Linked DNA regions of Arabidopsis thaliana. The protein of the gene in region 1 interacts with the protein of each later gene in a pairwise test. Each region holds a gene or a part of one and is shown in the gene's direction. Other genes may lie near its edges. The genes, in order: AT4G23740, AMT1;2 and TET11.

The links.
Region 2: the proteins of AT4G23740 (region 1) and AMT1;2 interact in a protein complementation assay, tested with the Arabidopsis thaliana proteins (one large-scale study listed by BioGRID).
Region 3: the proteins of AT4G23740 (region 1) and TET11 interact in a protein complementation assay, tested with the Arabidopsis thaliana proteins (one large-scale study listed by BioGRID).

What each region holds. Positions count from the first base shown.
Region 1 is NC_003075.7:12,363,057-12,370,439, forward strand, and holds AT4G23740 (Leucine-rich repeat protein kinase family protein), read left to right. Parts: upstream 1-3,025; 5' UTR 3,026-3,576; intron 3,577-3,794; exon of another isoform or gene 3,795-3,959; 5' UTR 3,960-4,006; coding exon 4,007-5,273; intron 5,274-5,371; coding exon 5,372-5,722; intron 5,723-5,804; coding exon 5,805-6,103; 3' UTR 6,104-6,282; downstream 6,283-7,383. Other genes in the region: AT4G23730 (Galactose mutarotase-like superfamily protein), read left to right, coding at 1-12, 489-563, 638-694, 785-951, 1,052-1,186, 1,279-1,481, 1,549-1,736.
Region 2 is NC_003070.9:24,059,458-24,065,846, reverse strand, and holds AMT1;2 (ammonium transporter 1;2), read left to right. Parts: upstream 1-3,042; 5' UTR 3,043-3,281; coding exon 3,282-4,826; 3' UTR 4,827-5,207; downstream 5,208-6,389. Other genes in the region: ILA (ILITYHIA), read left to right, coding at 1-87, 208-286, 576-615.
Region 3 is NC_003070.9:6,371,960-6,377,424, forward strand, and holds TET11 (tetraspanin11), read left to right. Parts: upstream 1-2,946; 5' UTR 2,947-3,091; coding exon 3,092-3,598; intron 3,599-3,910; coding exon 3,911-4,219; 3' UTR 4,220-4,374; downstream 4,375-5,465. Other genes in the region: MAML-4 (methylthioalkylmalate synthase-like 4), read left to right, coding at 110-193, 284-418, 503-648, 770-902; TET16 (tetraspanin), read left to right, coding at 1,306-1,752, 1,832-2,131; AT1G18530 (EF hand calcium-binding protein family), read left to right, coding at 4,824-5,297. UniProt on the Arabidopsis thaliana protein: May be involved in the regulation of cell differentiation.

The sequences.
Region 1 (7,383 bases):
GCCTCTGTAAAGGTTATAGCTTTTGTATTTATTCTTGTTTCATTTTGGTTCTCCTATGTTATTGGTTGTGTTTACGAAAGTAGAATCATTCTTCGATGCAAGATTCAGGATTATAGGATAAGATGTTGACTTTTAAGATATGCCCACTAACTGTTCGATGTTATGCCTCTTCCAAACTCTTGATACATTTAAATTGGTCCAAAAGGTCTTATTTTGGGGGAAAATTGTGTATTTGGTTCTTAGTATCAGAGTGTTTATAAGCGTGTTTGATTGCTCTGTTTCTACTGGTTATTTGGGTTCTGATTCTTGAAAGTTGAAGGCCTAGTTCGTAGTTGTGGCTTTAAACTCTCTTAACAAGACAAATCTGATAGCTTTAGATATAGTTTTGATGTTGTTGGCCATGGAAACTTTGGCTTTTATGATTCATGGACCACATTCATAAGCATTTCCATTTCGCTTATTGAACTGACGGTTTGTTTATGATTCAGATTAGTTTACATGGAGGACAAGTTCTTTCATGGAAGACTGACAAGGGTGATGAATTGTTATTCAACAGCACCAAGGTAAAGAACTCGCCTTTTTCAACATTCTACGCAACTTTGTATCATATTTACTGAACTACATGCTCTTGTTTCAGGCCAACTTGAAGCCTCCCCATCCGGTACGAGGAGGAATCCCTATATGCTTTCCTCAGGTATATAGACTTTTGAAAAGTAACATGTAATATTGGACATGAATAATCTTGGTTTTGATCACATTTCTTTATATTTTTTTTATTCATAAGTTTGGAACTCGGGGATCACTTGAGCAACACGGGTTTGCAAGAAACAAGATGTGGCTTGTAGAAAACAATCCACCTGCTTTACCTTCATTTGACTCAACTGGAAAAGCCTATGTTGATTTGGTGCTTAAGTCATCTGATGAAGATACGATGAGGATCTGGCCTTACAGGTAGGTTGCAAACCCGATCAAATGATTTTATTTTGATTCCTCGATATGATCTGATTCTTTTCATTTCAGCATGATTAAATTGCTATTGCTCTTGTTTCAGCTTTGAGTTTCATCTGAGAGTCTCATTGGCATTAGATGGGAACCTAACACTGATATCACGAGTCAGAAACATCAATTCAAAGCCTTTTAGCTTTTCCATTGCTTACCACACTTACTTCTCCATTTCCGATATTAGGTGAAACACCGAATTTAGCCTCTACTAGTCTCTGCTGTCACATAATATAACGTAGAACTCAATACATTCTCTTTTCTTTTGGTATTTATCAGTGAAGTTAGACTTGAAGGGCTGGAAACTCTTGACTATCTTGATAATATGCATGATAGAGAGCGGTTCACAGAGCAAGGCGATGCATTAACCTTTGAATCAGAGATCGATAGAGTGTACCTAAATTCTAAAGACGTGGTTGCCATTTTCGACCATGAGAGAAAACGCACATTCCTCATCAAGAAAGAAGGTCTACCTGATGTCGGTAAGATCCAAATACCGAAAACCTTAACCGCCCTTTTTACCAAGAATCCAGTTTTTAACAGTATTAGATTCTCGGTTTGTTGCAGTGGTATGGAATCCATGGGAGAAGAAAGCGAGAGCATTGACGGATTTGGGAGATGATGAGTATAGACACATGTTGTGTGTGGATGGAGCAGCCATTGAGAAACCCATCACCTTGAAACCGGGTGAAGAATGGACCGGGAAATTACATCTCTCGCTTGTTCTTTCCACCTAAAACCCGGTACCGGTTATCACAAACTCTGTGTCTTTCATTATCTTGTCTTGTGGGCTATTTTTTTTGTTTTAGTCTATAGAACATCACAGTGTGTGTGATTCGTCGGTATCAAAAATCCGAAATATTAAAAGGAAACCTGAGATTTGAAAAGGTCACCCATTTTTAGGAAGTGACTAGATCTCCTGGTTTTGTGCGAGATTTAACTTGTGTATGAAGACAATGTTATATACTATATTGAAGTTTGTACTTATTTGATGAAATCTTCAATAATACTAGATTTTAACCCGCGGTATATCGCGGGGACAATTTATTTTTTTAAGTTAGTATATATAAAAGTTTACAAATTATATCTATCTATAAAATATTTTTATTTTATAGTTTACAATTGTTATTAAGTAACGTCCTATCAAATCCGTCCCGCCAACCTGTCCCGTAAAAAAAACTCATTGATCTCATTTATGATATGTTTATGAATCATTGTTTAAATATTTTGTAATTTTGTAGTAATTAAATGCTATCAAATATTTGTGCGGTTTGATGATTATAATCGAATTGTTATAGTCATGTAGAAAAACAATATCAAAAATAATAATTTTGTAGTAATTCAATGATATTAAATATATTGGAAGTTTTATTTTAGTAACTAATCGTGTAGTTAATGTAGAGAGATTTCGGGAAGATTTTCAAATATTTAATTCAAAAATTTTATTTTTAATTATCAAAACAAACATTAAAATCCAGTGGCAGCTATTGTAAATAAATCTCAACTACAAAATTTATTTCACAAAATGGCTGCAAAAATGTATATGTAGATTTAAAGCTTTCTTGTTCTCATGGTTGACAATTCTTGAATAAACCATTTCTGAGACCATAAGCTAATTTTTTTGGGTACATATTTCAAGTATAGGAACAAAACTATAGTATAAAATAATCTTTATAGATTCAAATGCTTTAATGGCCTTATACTCATTGCCTCTCAATGTGGTAAGATGGTGTAAAATCATCATAATAATCATGAAAGATTTGAAAATTATTGGTCTATTATGATGCACTATAAATTCTATAATTGCGTCGGTCAAATATTTAATACACCGAAGAAATAGTAATATTATAAAAAGAGAATATTTATTGATGCCAAAAAGAAACCAAGAATTTTATTAAAATGGTAGAAGTCGATATGCTTTAAATGCCTTGAGCTTCATTATGACAAGTACTACAAAACAAAAAAAAACGTATTTGCCTAATACATTTGGTAAGTTAAATAATTTCCTTCTTAACATAATTAATTACTATATCGTTCTTTTTGTTAGCGTTGACCAATTAAACAACCGGTTATGTATATCTCGGTTCAGAAAACTTAACCGGTTTAACAAATAGCTAATGTTCCGATTAATTTACATTACTTCAGAACGAATCGAACTTTGTAAAACGAAGATCGATTACAAATTGAAAGATACAGCCTTAATTTGGCATTAAAAAGTTCAATGGTCCCCGGTTCGGTATTAAATAACCGGGTACGTACAGACTCACCGGTCACCAACCTGTAAACCGTATAAAGAAACAATAGAGTCGCATCAGTATCTTCCCTCGTCACTTTCACCCACTTTAATATGCCAAAAAATAAGAACAAAATTATATCCGTTGCTTGAAAATCACAAGCTCTTCTTAACTTCACAAGTGCTTCAATGGCGGTTCTTCACATTATCTTCACTGCGTAATTGAAGAAGTTGTTCTCTCTTCCTCTTAATTTCGAGTTGTGTTCTTAAAAAACTCCAGAGCTGATTCGATTCTCGAGAAGAAACTAAGCCGACAATAAAGTTCAGATCTGGAAAAAAGCGAGGTTACCAATTCTTTATTTTTAATAAATTTAATCTCGTAGTAGAGTTAGGGTTCTACTTTTCGACAATTTTAATTACCAGAAATTCTAGGGTTTATGTGAGTTTAAATTAAAGCTTCGTCATTTTCGAAGCTTAAAGTTACTCACTTTTTATGTCTCCCACTCCTGTTGTATTTTAAAATCTCCAGTGGTCACATAGAACAACTTCAAGATTCCACTTTTGCTTTTATAATCAGCAGTCTTCTAGAAATCTGTAATCTTTTCGCTTTTTTGGTACCTTTTATTTTAAATTAAAGTTCACAAATTTTCACCATTTATATGTCCATCATCATCATCACCACAATCAAATTGAGCTAAATTGGTTTTTGATTGTTGTTTTTCTCCAGCTCCAGATTACAAAAAGAAACAGCTCGTTTTTTTCACTTTCAAAAAAATGGAAGCTTTGAGGATTTATCTATGGAGTCTCTGTCTCTCTCTGTGTTTGATTATCTATGGAGCAAACTCAGATCCATTAGAAGACAAACGCGCATTGCTTGAGTTTCTTACCATTATGCAACCAACTCGTTCACTCAACTGGAACGAGACTTCTCAAGTCTGCAACATCTGGACCGGAGTTACTTGTAATCAAGACGGATCTCGAATCATAGCCGTTAGATTACCAGGCGTTGGACTCAATGGTCAGATTCCTCCAAACACTATAAGCAGACTCTCAGCTCTCAGAGTTCTTAGTCTCAGATCCAATCTAATCTCCGGCGAGTTTCCTAAGGATTTTGTTGAGTTGAAAGATTTGGCCTTTCTTTATCTTCAGGATAACAACTTGTCTGGTCCTTTGCCATTGGATTTCTCTGTTTGGAAGAATCTCACTAGTGTTAATCTCTCAAACAACGGGTTCAACGGGACAATCCCGAGTTCGTTGTCTCGTCTTAAGCGGATTCAGTCGTTAAATCTTGCTAACAATACGCTTTCTGGTGATATTCCTGATCTGAGTGTGCTCTCTAGTCTGCAGCACATTGACTTGTCCAACAATTATGATCTTGCTGGACCGATACCAGATTGGCTTCGAAGGTTCCCGTTCTCGTCTTATACAGGCATTGATATTATTCCTCCTGGTGGTAACTACACCCTCGTTACGCCGCCACCACCTAGCGAGCAGACTCATCAGAAACCGTCGAAAGCTCGCTTCTTGGGACTATCCGAGACGGTGTTCTTGTTGATTGTTATTGCTGTTTCCATTGTGGTGATTACGGCTTTGGCGTTTGTGTTGACTGTTTGTTACGTAAGAAGGAAGTTAAGACGCGGTGATGGGGTCATTTCGGATAATAAGTTGCAGAAGAAAGGTGGGATGTCTCCTGAGAAATTTGTTTCTCGGATGGAAGATGTGAACAACCGGTTATCGTTCTTTGAAGGATGTAACTACTCTTTTGATCTTGAGGATCTATTGAGAGCTTCTGCTGAGGTTCTTGGTAAAGGCACGTTTGGCACGACGTACAAAGCAGTTCTTGAAGATGCAACTTCTGTTGCTGTGAAACGTCTTAAGGATGTTGCGGCTGGGAAACGTGATTTCGAGCAGCAGATGGAGATCATTGGAGGTATTAAGCATGAAAACGTTGTGGAGCTTAAGGCATACTATTACTCTAAAGACGAGAAGCTAATGGTTTATGACTATTTCAGCCGAGGAAGTGTGGCTTCTTTGCTTCATGGTACGTTTCACTTTTTGATCTAATGCATCATAACTACTATCAGAATCAAACCCATTTGCTTTAGGCTCATTGTAGAGTTGAAATGTTTTGGTTTTCAGGTAACAGAGGAGAAAACAGGATTCCTCTAGACTGGGAAACAAGAATGAAAATAGCTATTGGCGCAGCTAAAGGGATTGCTCGTATCCACAAAGAAAACAATGGAAAACTCGTCCATGGGAACATCAAATCTTCGAATATATTCTTGAATTCCGAGAGTAATGGCTGTGTCTCTGATCTTGGATTAACTGCTGTAATGAGTCCCTTGGCTCCACCGATATCGAGGCAAGCTGGTTACCGTGCACCAGAAGTAACCGACACAAGGAAGTCTTCTCAATTGTCAGATGTTTACAGCTTCGGTGTTGTTCTACTCGAACTACTCACGGGAAAATCGCCCATTCACACTACCGCAGGTAACGCTACAACCCGAAGTGACTAGACTGTTTCAGCTGATATATTTTCGGTTTAATGATCATTCTGTGATGGACATTGCAGGGGACGAGATCATCCACTTGGTTAGATGGGTACATTCAGTAGTGAGAGAGGAATGGACCGCAGAAGTATTCGACATCGAGCTTCTGAGGTATACAAACATAGAGGAAGAGATGGTTGAGATGTTGCAGATTGCAATGTCCTGTGTTGTGAAAGCAGCAGATCAGAGGCCAAAGATGTCTGATTTGGTTAGGCTCATCGAGAACGTTGGAAACCGACGAACCAGCATTGAACCGGAACCCGAACTCAAACCCAAATCCGAAAATGGAGCCTCAGAGACTTCAACACCGAGTGAAATTTGAATCTATCAAAATTCTAACTGTTGATTCATCATCCCATATTTTACATATGAAGTTTGTATACTCCTGTGTTTATTTCTTCTCTCTTCGGTTTAGAACCGGTTCAACAAACACATTTCTGTTTAGGAATTCTTGGTTTTCAAAATTCGCTATGAAATAGATTCAAATTTCTGATTCACAAGTTTGTTTCATCAAAGCCTCTAAACCAGGGAAACCAACTGCTTCAGAGCCCAAAAAGCCCATTGGGCCGATATAATTATACAGAGTCGACAAAGTTTTATTTCTAGTACTTGTTTGACCCATAATCTTCTTCGGCTAGAGCCCGGCCTGTGATCGAACCGACAAAATGGAACTAGTGGTCTCAAGTAATGCGATATTTGGAGGGTTCTAACTTCTAAGAAGCACCACAAGCCAGCCTAAGACCCACATGGTATCCTCAGGATCATATTTGAATGGAGTTTGGACTAATAATTTATGTTTTTCATATTATCTATTTTACTGAAATACTAACATTTTCTGAGTCAAAAGAAAAGAGTTCATACAAAATGTTTTGTCGTGAATTGTGTTTTGGAGCCTTGGAGGAGGAACAGGTAGGTGGCAGGGATTACAATAGGAAGGAGACAAATAAGGCAAGTTACAACGTGAACTTGATTTGTCTAATTCCAGAAAATGACGTGTCCTTGCTGCTCATATACTGCAATAAGGCTTCTCTTCTTCTTTCCAAGTTGCGAAATTAGAAACCTAAATATATATATACAAGAAAATCTGAATCTCAAAAATGTGTCAATTTTATGTAAATCCTTAGGTCCCCACGAAATCGGTGGATCAACATGTTATTTGTTTTACTTCTCCGCTGTTAAACCGACGGCTTAGTTAAAACCATTTAGTATAATCTCATCAACCAATCTATCTTCTTGTTGAAAATTTAATAATTGACTACGATATACAACTTTTACCAATGATACCTTTTTGGCATACGTGAAAACTACTACAGTAGAAGTTTATATTGTAAATAACATTATTTTCCTCGTGATTAAATCAAACATGAGATAAAAAATAAAATAAAAATTGTTCATTTTACATAGGTTTATAAACCATTGTTTTTTCTTTTTCAAAATGTTATCCTTTATATTGTTAGAGAATTAAAGTTGAATCATAACTTTCTAACGAGTAGAGCAGTTCGAATAGTATAGTAGTACACTCTTGCAGTACTTGTTAAAATTCATACTGTCTCTACTGATGAAGAAAACAATTATCTCTTGAATTTATTTTTGTTATGAAAA
Region 2 (6,389 bases), on another chromosome or scaffold:
CTCTAGCTGAATGTTTGAAGGATGGGAACACACCAGTGAGACTTGCTGCAGAAAGATGTGCTTTGCACGTGTTCCAATTAACAAAAGGTATTGAATCTGTCGAACTTCTCTCAGTTTTTTATGCCCACAATATGTTGGCAAAGTTTCGGTGCAGTTGTTTTTATAGCAACAGGGTCACATATTACTAATTTCTTTGATTGGTCTCAGGCGCAGAAAATGTTCAAGCAGCTCAAAAATACATTACAGGATTGGATGCCCGACGGTTATCCAAGTTTCCTGAACAAAGGTACTTAATCTTCTTCACATACGAAAATCATTTTGCTTGCTATACCTTTCAATCTATACATGAAAAGCGGTTTTTCAGACCCTCGAGAAAATAACAATGGTAAAAAATATGCTCAAGTCCGATGGCTTTAGTTTTGGCTTCTCTTCATCCTTCTGTGGATATACTTACGAATAATAAAATCTATAACCTTAGCTAATGCGTGAAGCCCTATACTGATCAAATCTTTCTTGTTATGGGTAAATTTAGTTCCCTTGGTCTGAAAGTTAAGTACAATTTGTTACATTTGCAGCGATGACAGTGAAAGCGATGATGATAATGTAAGTGGGTAGGAGGAAACATGTTTTCGCCATCTCTGTTGAATCCATTTTGTAGGAGAGGCTCATTAAGCATAATCCCTTGAGTCGCGGATGAAATTGTATCATTTTTCTTTCGCATGAGAATATAGATACACAGAGGTCAATATACAATATATAGATATACCTGACTTTGGATTATCAGATCCTTCTGTGTTCTTTGTTGAGAAGCACTCATCTCATTTTTTTTATTTGATACGGGTACTTCGATTTTGTTAAATGGTAATGTCTCAAATGGGTTAAATTTTATGCGTCTTTAGTTTTTGCTTTCAGTCTATAACAGACTAGATTATACTACTAAATCTTCTAATTACGTTATTGTATTATGAATATGATTTGTTACTAAAATTCGTTTAGTGCGACATTGTGGCTTCGTCTGTCATTGCCTTCTGTGGGTTTATCTTCGTTAAGGATTTATCTTTTCTGTTTATTACTATATTATAATCCCCACCAATCGTAGGATTAAAAAGGTTGATAAACCAATATAATCAGATAAATTTAATTGAAAAACTATCTAAGTTGAGATGAAAAAAAGTAATGGAGAAATGCAATAGAGTTTTTTTTTATTATGTCTTCATACGTAATGCCAGAGAACGTGAAGAAGTTTTCAAGAGTCAAAAGCACACATAAATCAAATAATCGCTGGAGACAAAACCCTATGTTAATCGTATAAACGTTTGGTAAGTTTGAAGGATGAAAAGAAACGATTATCTTCCAGGAGTAGAAAAGAAAATTTTTGGAAGCTACGAGGACTAGATCTTCTTGTGTAGAATGACATAAACTATGCTAGTGAGCAACACGTCCTTCAGCATTTGAATGACCGTCAAAGTTATATTGTTTACCAGAAAAGTGTATTTAATCACGTGGTTAGCGGTTCACTTTTGCGGCAGTTTTTACCATATTTTGACTCTAGCAAATTTAGTGGCGGCAAAAAACCGGAACCGATTACTCAAACTGGAACCGACCCGAAAAATTAGATCCGAATTCGAAGATTTATCTTATTTGTCTTAAATTTCTCTACCAAAAAACCGAATTCGAATTCGACCCGAATCCGAAAATCCGGGTATTTATTCGAAAATTTGGGTATCGATTCCAAAAAAGGCCTGAAAATCTATATTCGAACCCGATTGGACCCGAACCAAAATCAAACCGATATTTTAGAATTACTCTATTGGATCCTAAACTTCTCTATCCAAAAAAACCTGTACCCGATCGGATTTTATCAGAACCTGACTCGAATGCCCATCTCGCATTATCCTGCATAGTAACAATTGGTTTTGGATCGGATCTTGCTGATAACACTCTAATTTTACCCATTTTTTCATAAATCGCATTTATTTTTACCCATTTTTTCATAAATCGCATTTTAAAAACATTTAACGTAATATAAAAACATTTTCACTGTTCATATGTCCATTCATTTTGTTTTTTTCTTTGTTGCGTGATTTCCTACTATCACTGTGATTCCGTGAAAACCTAATACGATTTTACTATTGAATCTGTTCATCTTTCCTTTGTTGCATATATATTTTTCCTGTAATCACAAAATTGAACCCTATATATAGTTTGTAGCTTTAACAGTTTATTCTCTAATACGTAGTGCAATATAAATTCTATGTGAAATCGGTACCTCAAATTACAACATATTTGTTTGATTAACTAAAAATACAAAAATAAATGGCGCTAAAAATCACACAGCATCAAATAATGCCTATTATTCAAGTCGAATTACGTATTCAGTTGTGAAGTAGTTGTAGTCAAGTTGAAAATAATTTTTATATTTAATCTAGCGTGATAATTTTATAACTATTTGAGTGATCGTCCTTGCCCCCTATATCACATTCATATAAATGATACATCATTCATGATCTATCAACTATTGACTTCATCGATACAAACGAAACGAAAAATTACATTTTTCAAATTATTTTAATTCCAAAAAAGAAATCAAATTATTTCTCCTTTGAATCGTGCCGTCAAAAAAAATAAATTATTTCTCCTTTGTAAGAACATTAACTAGTTCATATAAAATATTGAGTTGGAAAAATAGACATACAAATTCATTTAAAAGAATCATATCGTCATATGCTTGAACTTGTTCTTTAATGTCGTACTTCTATGTAGCGATGTTTAATTAATTGTTTCTCATAAACAAATGCTGACCCGATTCCTTGTCATACTAAAATAAACGATTCAAACACTAAACGAAATATTATAAGAATTTTCTTTTTTCTTTTTTTATTCGTATAACCAAAATTAATTGCACACAAAAACTGATTAAATATCTTATTAAAATAAAAAAATCTTCTTTAAAAAATTAACTTTAAATATGTTCAAAACTGAATAGAAACTAAAACAAAACTATACCAAAACAAATTTATTAATTTTATTTTAGTTTGATTACTACTGTTTAAAAAAACTTAAACCAGAGACCTAGAATTTTAAAATTCAGAAAACTTCTTTTAAAACCTCAACTAGAAGAAGAGTAAGTAGTACCGCAACTTTTTGTGATGTAACGAAATAAATATGCTTTTTTCCACTTTAAATACACCAAAGACACTCTCACCACAAGTACTCACTTAAGCAAACACGTTCCACAATCAAGTACCCTCTCTCTATCTCTCCCTCCCTCCCTCTCCACCATGGACACCGCAACCACCACATGCTCTGCCGTAGATCTATCTGCCCTCCTATCCTCTTCTTCTAACTCAACATCTTCCCTCGCCGCGGCAACCTTTTTATGTTCCCAAATTTCAAACATCTCCAACAAACTCTCCGACACAACTTATGCCGTCGACAACACGTATCTCCTCTTCTCCGCCTACCTTGTCTTTGCCATGCAGCTCGGTTTCGCTATGCTTTGTGCTGGATCAGTCCGAGCCAAGAACACTATGAACATCATGCTTACCAATGTCCTTGATGCTGCCGCTGGAGCCATCTCTTACTACCTCTTCGGATTCGCATTCGCCTTTGGTACACCTTCCAACGGATTCATCGGTCGCCACCATAGCTTCTTCGCTTTAAGCTCTTACCCTGAACGCCCCGGCTCCGACTTCAGCTTTTTCCTCTACCAATGGGCTTTTGCCATAGCCGCGGCCGGAATCACTAGCGGTTCCATCGCCGAGCGAACGCAATTCGTTGCTTACCTTATCTACTCTACTTTCTTGACCGGTTTTGTTTACCCGACAGTCTCGCACTGGTTCTGGTCAAGTGATGGATGGGCTAGCGCGTCCCGGTCTGACAACAATCTCTTGTTTGGCTCAGGTGCTATTGATTTCGCAGGTTCAGGAGTTGTTCACATGGTAGGTGGAATTGCCGGTTTATGTGGAGCGTTAGTTGAAGGACCAAGAATAGGTAGATTTGACCGGTCAGGCCGGTCCGTGGCTTTACGTGGTCACAGTGCATCCCTTGTCGTGCTTGGTACCTTCTTGTTGTGGTTTGGATGGTATGGGTTTAACCCTGGTTCCTTTTTAACCATTCTTAAAGGCTACGACAAGTCTCGGCCATATTATGGTCAATGGAGCGCTGTAGGTCGCACCGCGGTCACCACAACGCTTTCTGGCTGCACCGCTGCGTTGACTACTCTATTCAGTAAACGGCTTTTAGCAGGTCATTGGAACGTTATTGACGTATGCAACGGACTTCTAGGCGGCTTTGCAGCTATAACCTCCGGATGTGCCGTGGTGGAGCCGTGGGCTGCTATAGTATGTGGCTTTGTGGCATCATGGGTTTTAATCGGATTTAACTTGCTTGCCAAGAAACTTAAATATGATGACCCACTCGAGGCTGCTCAGCTCCACGGTGGATGTGGAGCATGGGGATTAATCTTTACCGGGCTGTTCGCAAGGAAAGAATACGTTAACGAGATTTACTCCGGTGATAGGCCTTACGGACTGTTCATGGGCGGGGGAGGAAAACTGCTCGCCGCGCAGATCGTTCAGATTATTGTGATCGTTGGGTGGGTGACGGTAACTATGGGACCGTTGTTTTATGGGTTACATAAGATGAATCTTTTGAGGATATCAGCAGAAGATGAGATGGCAGGAATGGACATGACACGTCATGGAGGATTTGCTTACGCATACAATGACGAAGACGACGTGTCGACTAAACCATGGGGTCATTTCGCTGGAAGAGTGGAGCCTACAAGCCGGAGCTCGACTCCTACACCGACCTTGACTGTTTGATACTTTGATTGGAGAATTGAGTGGTCCCAAACGAGTCAGTTTTAATGTGGTGAAGACAAGAGTTCGGGCACCAAACATGTTGGACGCATCTTTGTGTATTATTGGTCTTCTTCTTCTTCTTTTTTTTTCTCTTGGTTATCGCTCTGTTGTGGACAGATAGTGTGGAACTGTTAACAATAACATGATCAGTATGTCTTTTTAATTAAAGTGAACGTTTGGTATCAAAATTAAACATTGGAATTTGAGCGGTCTTGAGACATTTTAAATGTTAAGAAAAGAGAGGAAAAAAAAATCTTGTACGATAGCATGTTTTGTTTTGATAAAATGAACGTTAGAATGTTAATCAATAATCACCAACGGAAATTAATCAGAATTGTCGAGTTTTATTATAAACGAGTTTTTTTTTTGTGGACGAGCTTATCAAATTATCACATACTGATCATAAGAAAGTTGTCTTGGGTACTTATCGGTTATGTTATCACCACAAAACTATGTAACCTTTTTTTTTGTTGTTGTTCAAACCACATAATACGTAACCATGATTCGGGATTTGATATCATAACCTATGGTTCTAGGCTTCTAGCTAGTTCCATGGTATCCATTGGTTCAATGATTCTTTTCTGTTGATTGGTCGTCAAATTTTCTGAATAACTAATATTTTAAATATGAAAATATAAATATATTTATATTAGTATATTACTACTTTAGAAAACGGATGGTCCGGAGCCTCGTATGTACTTTATCCTTTTTCCCATTTGCCATAAATTACCGTTCAATTTTATCATTTGTCTTCTCGTCCTCTCTTTTTATCATCACCCATTTATTCACCACTAAAAGTTGATCTTATATACTACATACAAATCTGAGTAGCTCCCACCTAGATGTTTGTTTTATTTAGAATTTTATTTGACATTATTTGTGTATTTTGTTGCTAATTACGATTCTAACTAATTTATTTTCCCGACAACTTTGTTAGATTAGCTTGTATAAATCAAAATTGGAGAATATTATTTATATAAATAATAATATGCGGTTGGATACGAACTGTTCATACCAAATTACACTGAATATTATACAAAGGTGTCGAATATTGCATATAAGGTTGTCGATCAATTTTTTCAACGGCAGTGTTGCCTCATATTGCCTTTAAAGGGGTTGTCGATCTATTCTAGAAGGGACTTTCAATCAACAATATTATTTTGCTGTAATATGTTTTTCAGTTTTCCTCAAAAAACTCATTTTCTAGAACCGTTATACTACTTAAAAATAAAAATTTCGATAAAACACAGAAAACATTAAAATTAGAGTGAGAAAGGTAAATACTGTGACATATCAATGTCTTATAAGTTTATTTAGTATGTGCAATATCACAAATCTTTTTGTACTTACTTAATTAAAAGTTGCGTTACAAATCAATAAAATAAAAATCCGCAACTCATATATTTTCTGAGACAATTTTGTTTTACATCAACTTTGATTTACTAAGTTCATTATTGTATATTGATTTAGTATAGTCATTAACATGTTTTGAATATATAGAAGAAAAAATGGCAACAAAAATAG
Region 3 (5,465 bases), on another chromosome or scaffold:
CTGGCTGCATAAACTTAGGATGTGTAGAGGATTACTCTTTCTATTTTCTAGTGCTCTTGATTTGTTAATGTAATGTCTTCTGATCGTATATGTTCCCTTGCTGATCCAGAGAGTTACTGATGCGGACATAATAGCTTTAGTATCTGATGAAGTTTTCCAGCCAGAAGCCGTGTGGAAACTCCTGGACATTCAGGTGAAATTGGGATCATAATGTGCTTTCTTACTCTTTTTTCTTGTTCATTGTCTTTATCCAATTCTCATGGTACTTAAAAGTGGAATGCAGATAACTTGTGGAACTCTCGGGCTTTCAACAGCAACTGTAAAACTTGCTGACGCTGATGGCAAAGAACATGTCGCTTGTTCTATTGGAACTGGGCCTGTGGATTCAGCTTACAAGGCAGTAGATCTTATCGTAAAGGTACTGTTTATACCGCTGAGGCTCTCATCTACAAATAACTCACCAGTGGGTCATCGCTTATTGAAAACCTTTTTCCCCCTTTAGGAACCGGCTACTCTGCTTGAGTACTCAATGAATGCAGTAACAGAAGGCATTGATGCCATCGCAACCACAAGAGTTCTTATCCGTGGAAGCAACAAATACTCATCTACAAACGCAATAACTGGTGAAGAGGTTCAAAGAACCTTTAGGTAAAATCCTCTTTTGCCCCATATCTCATTCAAACCGGATCGATTTATCTGCGAAGTTTATTGTTTCTTGTTGATTCTTGCTTGTATTATAACACCAAACCGGTTGTCTTGTGTTTGGCAGTGGAACTGGAGCAGGAATGGATATTGTGGTGTCAAGCGTCAAAGCTTATGTTGGAGCTTTGAACAAAATGATGGACTTCAAAGAAAACTCCGCCACAAAAATCCCTTCCCAAAAAAACAGAGTCGCTGCCTGAATTAAAAATCTTTCCGGCAAATACCAAAAAGTCAGACAGAAGTTAGGTTCTTTTATTTTCAAGTACATAGTTTGGTAATAACTGGAGTTTCGGAGTTTGCTTGTTGTTTATCGAAGTTGCATGTCAAAAGAGTTTGGTGTACTATATATATCTTGATTTAACTTGAATCTCTATTTTTAGAAATAATGGTTTTAGAATAAGGAATAAAAACCAACCGTTAAACAGTTTTAACCTATTTCAAAAAGCTGTCTTTAGACTAAACTAAGGTCTTAAAACTCAAAAACAAAACTGATACCTCTCTGTTCTTGATTCCTTGTCTCTTTGTTACAACCTCTTCATATATCACACAAGTCAAAACATCATATACTCTACGAGTCATTTTAGATTTCCTGATTTGCAAAAAATGTCAGAGATACGAACAGGGTTCTTAACAATGGCGACCATAATCCTTATATGCATAGGCTTAACAATGACGGGAACAGGTTTATATTACAGAAAAACAGTCTCGAAATGTATCCGAGAAACGGATGGCAGTTTCGTCGTCATTGGTTTGCTCTTGCTGGTGATTCCTCAGTTTGCTCTTTACGCAATCTGTTGTCACTCAAAACGTATGTTCACAATCTACATCTATGCAATGATATTCGTAAGCATTGTCCTTGGTGGCTACTCTTTAAAGTGTTTCATCTACAACACAACCTTTGGAATCGCCAAGAACCCGGCTGAGGAAAAGCGAACCGCCAAGCAATTGGTAGGCAGGCTAGTCCCTGAAAGTAAACTTGCAAAAGTCACGGAGTGCATCATTCATAACCATGACTGTAACTTCAATGCCAGCCAAAACAGCAATGTTTGGGTAAGTACTTAATTATGTCACCTCATCCTGATTCATTCGTAATAAAAGATCAATTCTCTAACAATGATGATATATATAGAGGTATTGCTGCGCGCAACCAAGAGGATGTGGAGTGACGACAATGTTCGGGCAACCAGGAGAATGGAGTTGGAAACATCAACACGTAGAGAACCATGTTCCGGAAGAATGTTCTTACGAATACTGTCTCAGTTGCAGAGGTTGCCAGATGAGCATCTTAAAAGCCATTGTTCATCAATGGAAATATCTCTCCATGTTCTCTTATCCTGCCCTCTTTCTCGTTTGTCTCAGCCTCGCCATTTCCAGGTCCATTATGGATACTTTCGATGAACCTGATGATTATAGGGGCTATTATTCTTGATTTCATTTTTCCATATCAAATGTACATGATATATATTTAATTCTAGTTTCTCATTAGTTTTCTTCAATATTAACTAACACCTTTTTCTTTCTTTTTTCTAATCTTAACGATGGAGGAAGAGTCTTTTAAAGTAAATACTCGGATACACCAAATGTTTGGTATCTATAATCTATTCTGACTAAACCAGAGCTATCACCAGAAGTAGTTATTTTGTCACGTGAGATGCGTTTTGGAATTCCACTAATTTCATCAATCTTGTAAGTTAAGATCAAAATAAGAAGAAAATCTCCTAGATGTCACCAGGGTATAAAATGGTTGTGTTATTTACCCATGCAATAATAAATTTTTGGATTTTCTTCCATCAATTCTTAACGAATATTATAAACCCCCCACGAATTTGAGTTTTATCCTTGAAAAACGTTTTTTCACAACATATTATTATTCATATATTTACTTATTTAGTTTGTTTTTTCCTTTTCCAAGTAACAAAAATATGAATTAATATGCATTTTTATTTAAAAATAAAATTAACATAAACCTATATGTAATTTTCCCAACAATCTCGTACTCAATAAATTCTTATTAAATTCAATGTTTAAAAAGTCGAGTGACAGTTTAATTATTAGTCTTAGTTACGTGGCAGTAAGACCTAGTCAAAATCTAATTAAACGACTTCCTCTAAACTAAAGGATCTTCTTAACCCCCACACGATCTCTAAAACCAATGGCTAATAATCTCCACTAATATCATCAACCCACTACCAAAAAAGCAACCGTTTCCCTCTTTCCCCAATAACCACGACTCCACACACTTAAAAACACACACACACACTAAAAACGTTACGAAACATAATTATCAAATTCAAACAACAACAAAAAAACACTCTCTCCCTCTCCGTATCTATTTAAAATCCGATCAGGTTAATCGAGTTTATCATTTGGAGAAAGCAAATTTCCAAAAATGTTTCGAGTTAGCAATTTCATGGTTGGTCTAGCAAACACATTGGTGATGTTAGTGGGCGCTTCGGCCATTGGTTATTCGATTTACATGTTCGTTCACCAAGGCGTCACTGATTGTGAATCTGCCATTCGGATACCACTTCTCACGACCGGACTCATCCTCTTCTTGGTGTCTTTGCTCGGAGTGATTGGATCTTGTTTCAAGGAGAATTTGGCAATGGTTTCCTACTTGATCATATTGTTTGGGGGCATTGTTGCATTGATGATTTTCTCCATATTTCTCTTCTTTGTGACCAACAAAGGAGCCGGTCGTGTGGTGTCCGGTCGAGGGTATAAAGAGTACCGGACGGTGGATTTCTCGACGTGGCTTAATGGGTTCGTTGGTGGGAAGAGATGGGTTGGGATAAGGTCTTGTTTGGCTGAGGCTAACGTTTGTGATGATTTGAGTGATGGTCGTGTTAGTCAGATCGCTGATGCGTTTTATCACAAGAACTTGTCTCCCATCCAGGTATTGTTTTGGATCGATTTTCTGTATGAACATATTTCTTTGTTGATATTTTTGTATAAATATAGTAAAGGGAAGACCAATCAAAGCTTTTGCTTTCTTTAGTATATATATATGTAAAGACAAATCAATAAAAAATAGTCTAGGTTCATTTCATCGTTCTTAGTATGATTAAATTTCATTGTTAAGTTTTTGCATATAGTAACAAAAGCAAGACAATTTTTAGCCGAACTAAGATAACACTTATATGTTAAGCCGTTAAATTTATTGTTCATAATGGGTTGTGTAACTCAAGTATTGATTGTGTATGAGCAGTCAGGTTGTTGTAAGCCACCATCGGATTGCAACTTCGAGTTCAGAAACGCGACGTTCTGGATACCGCCGAGCAAAAACGAAACGGCAGTTGCGGAAAACGGGGACTGTGGTACGTGGAGCAACGTGCAAACAGAGTTATGTTTCAACTGCAACGCATGCAAAGCGGGTGTGTTAGCGAACATAAGAGAGAAGTGGAGGAATCTTCTTGTTTTCAACATTTGTCTCCTCATTCTCCTCATAACCGTCTATTCCTGCGGTTGCTGTGCTCGTCGTAACAATCGGACGGCTAGGAAAAGTGATTCTGTCTGATCAACAACTCAATTTCAGTTTCTTGTGTTTTTCTGTTTTCTTAGTTTGTTTGGTTTTTTAAGTTAATTATCTTTTGTTTTCTTTGGACAATGTCATGTTCTGTTTCTCAACAATTATCATGAATTTATCACATTTCACTAGTCGTAACCATTGGCATTTAATTTTATTTTAAATCTTATGCTTCACATATTTAGTCACAATTCTAATTATCTTTATGTTTCTTAGGACAATGTCATGTTTTTGTTTCACCACAATCAATATGATTTTCTTTACCAAAAAGGCAAAAAGAATCATTATGAATTTTCACATTTCAATAGCAGTACCAATCTAACTCAAACAAAAAAAAAATATGTGGTCTTATCTATTTTTATCAGCAACCATTAACAAACCAACGAAAAAGAAAAGAACAAACAAAACATTAAAACATAGAAAAGATCCAGAATTCTAAATTCTACGTGCTCAAAAAGAAACAAAACTTCAATCTTAAATCTCCTTTCTGGCACACCCTTCATTGACAATCATAACCTCTTGTCTCATCAATCTCTCTCGTCGCCAACATTGATTAATCGATTTTTATTTGTGTTGCTAAAGAAAGAAAGAAAAAATGGAGGATCAGATAAGACAACTTAAAGACATTTTCGACCGGTTCGACATGGACGCAGACGGAAGCTTAACAATCTTAGAACTCGCGGCACTTCTCCGGTCACTCGGTCTCAAACCTTCCGGCGATCAAATCCATGTTTTGTTAGCTAGCATGGACTCAAACGGCAACGGTTTTGTCGAATTCGATGAGCTCGTTGGTACAATTCTTCCTGATCTTAACGAAGAGGTCCTAATCAATTCCGAGCAATTACTCGAGATTTTCAAATCGTTCGATAGAGACGGTAACGGGTTCATAAGTGCGGCTGAGCTTGCAGGAGCAATGGCCAAGATGGGTCAACCATTAACGTATAAAGAATTAACGGAGATGATCAAAGAAGCTGATACAAATGGTGATGGTGTTATAAGCTTTGGAGAGTTTGCTTCAATTATGGCAAAATCTGCTGTTGATTACTTTGGATTAAAAATTAATTCGTGATCATTTCTTATGCTTTTTCATTTATTCATTTTTATAGAAAATCGAATTCATAACACCAGGTCTTAAAGCTAGATTGCTCGAAAATTTGATATATAAAATCAGAGAAAATAGTCTTTAAGATCCAAGGACGATTAAAGATGAAAATACTCAGGGAAACAGATATTCTTA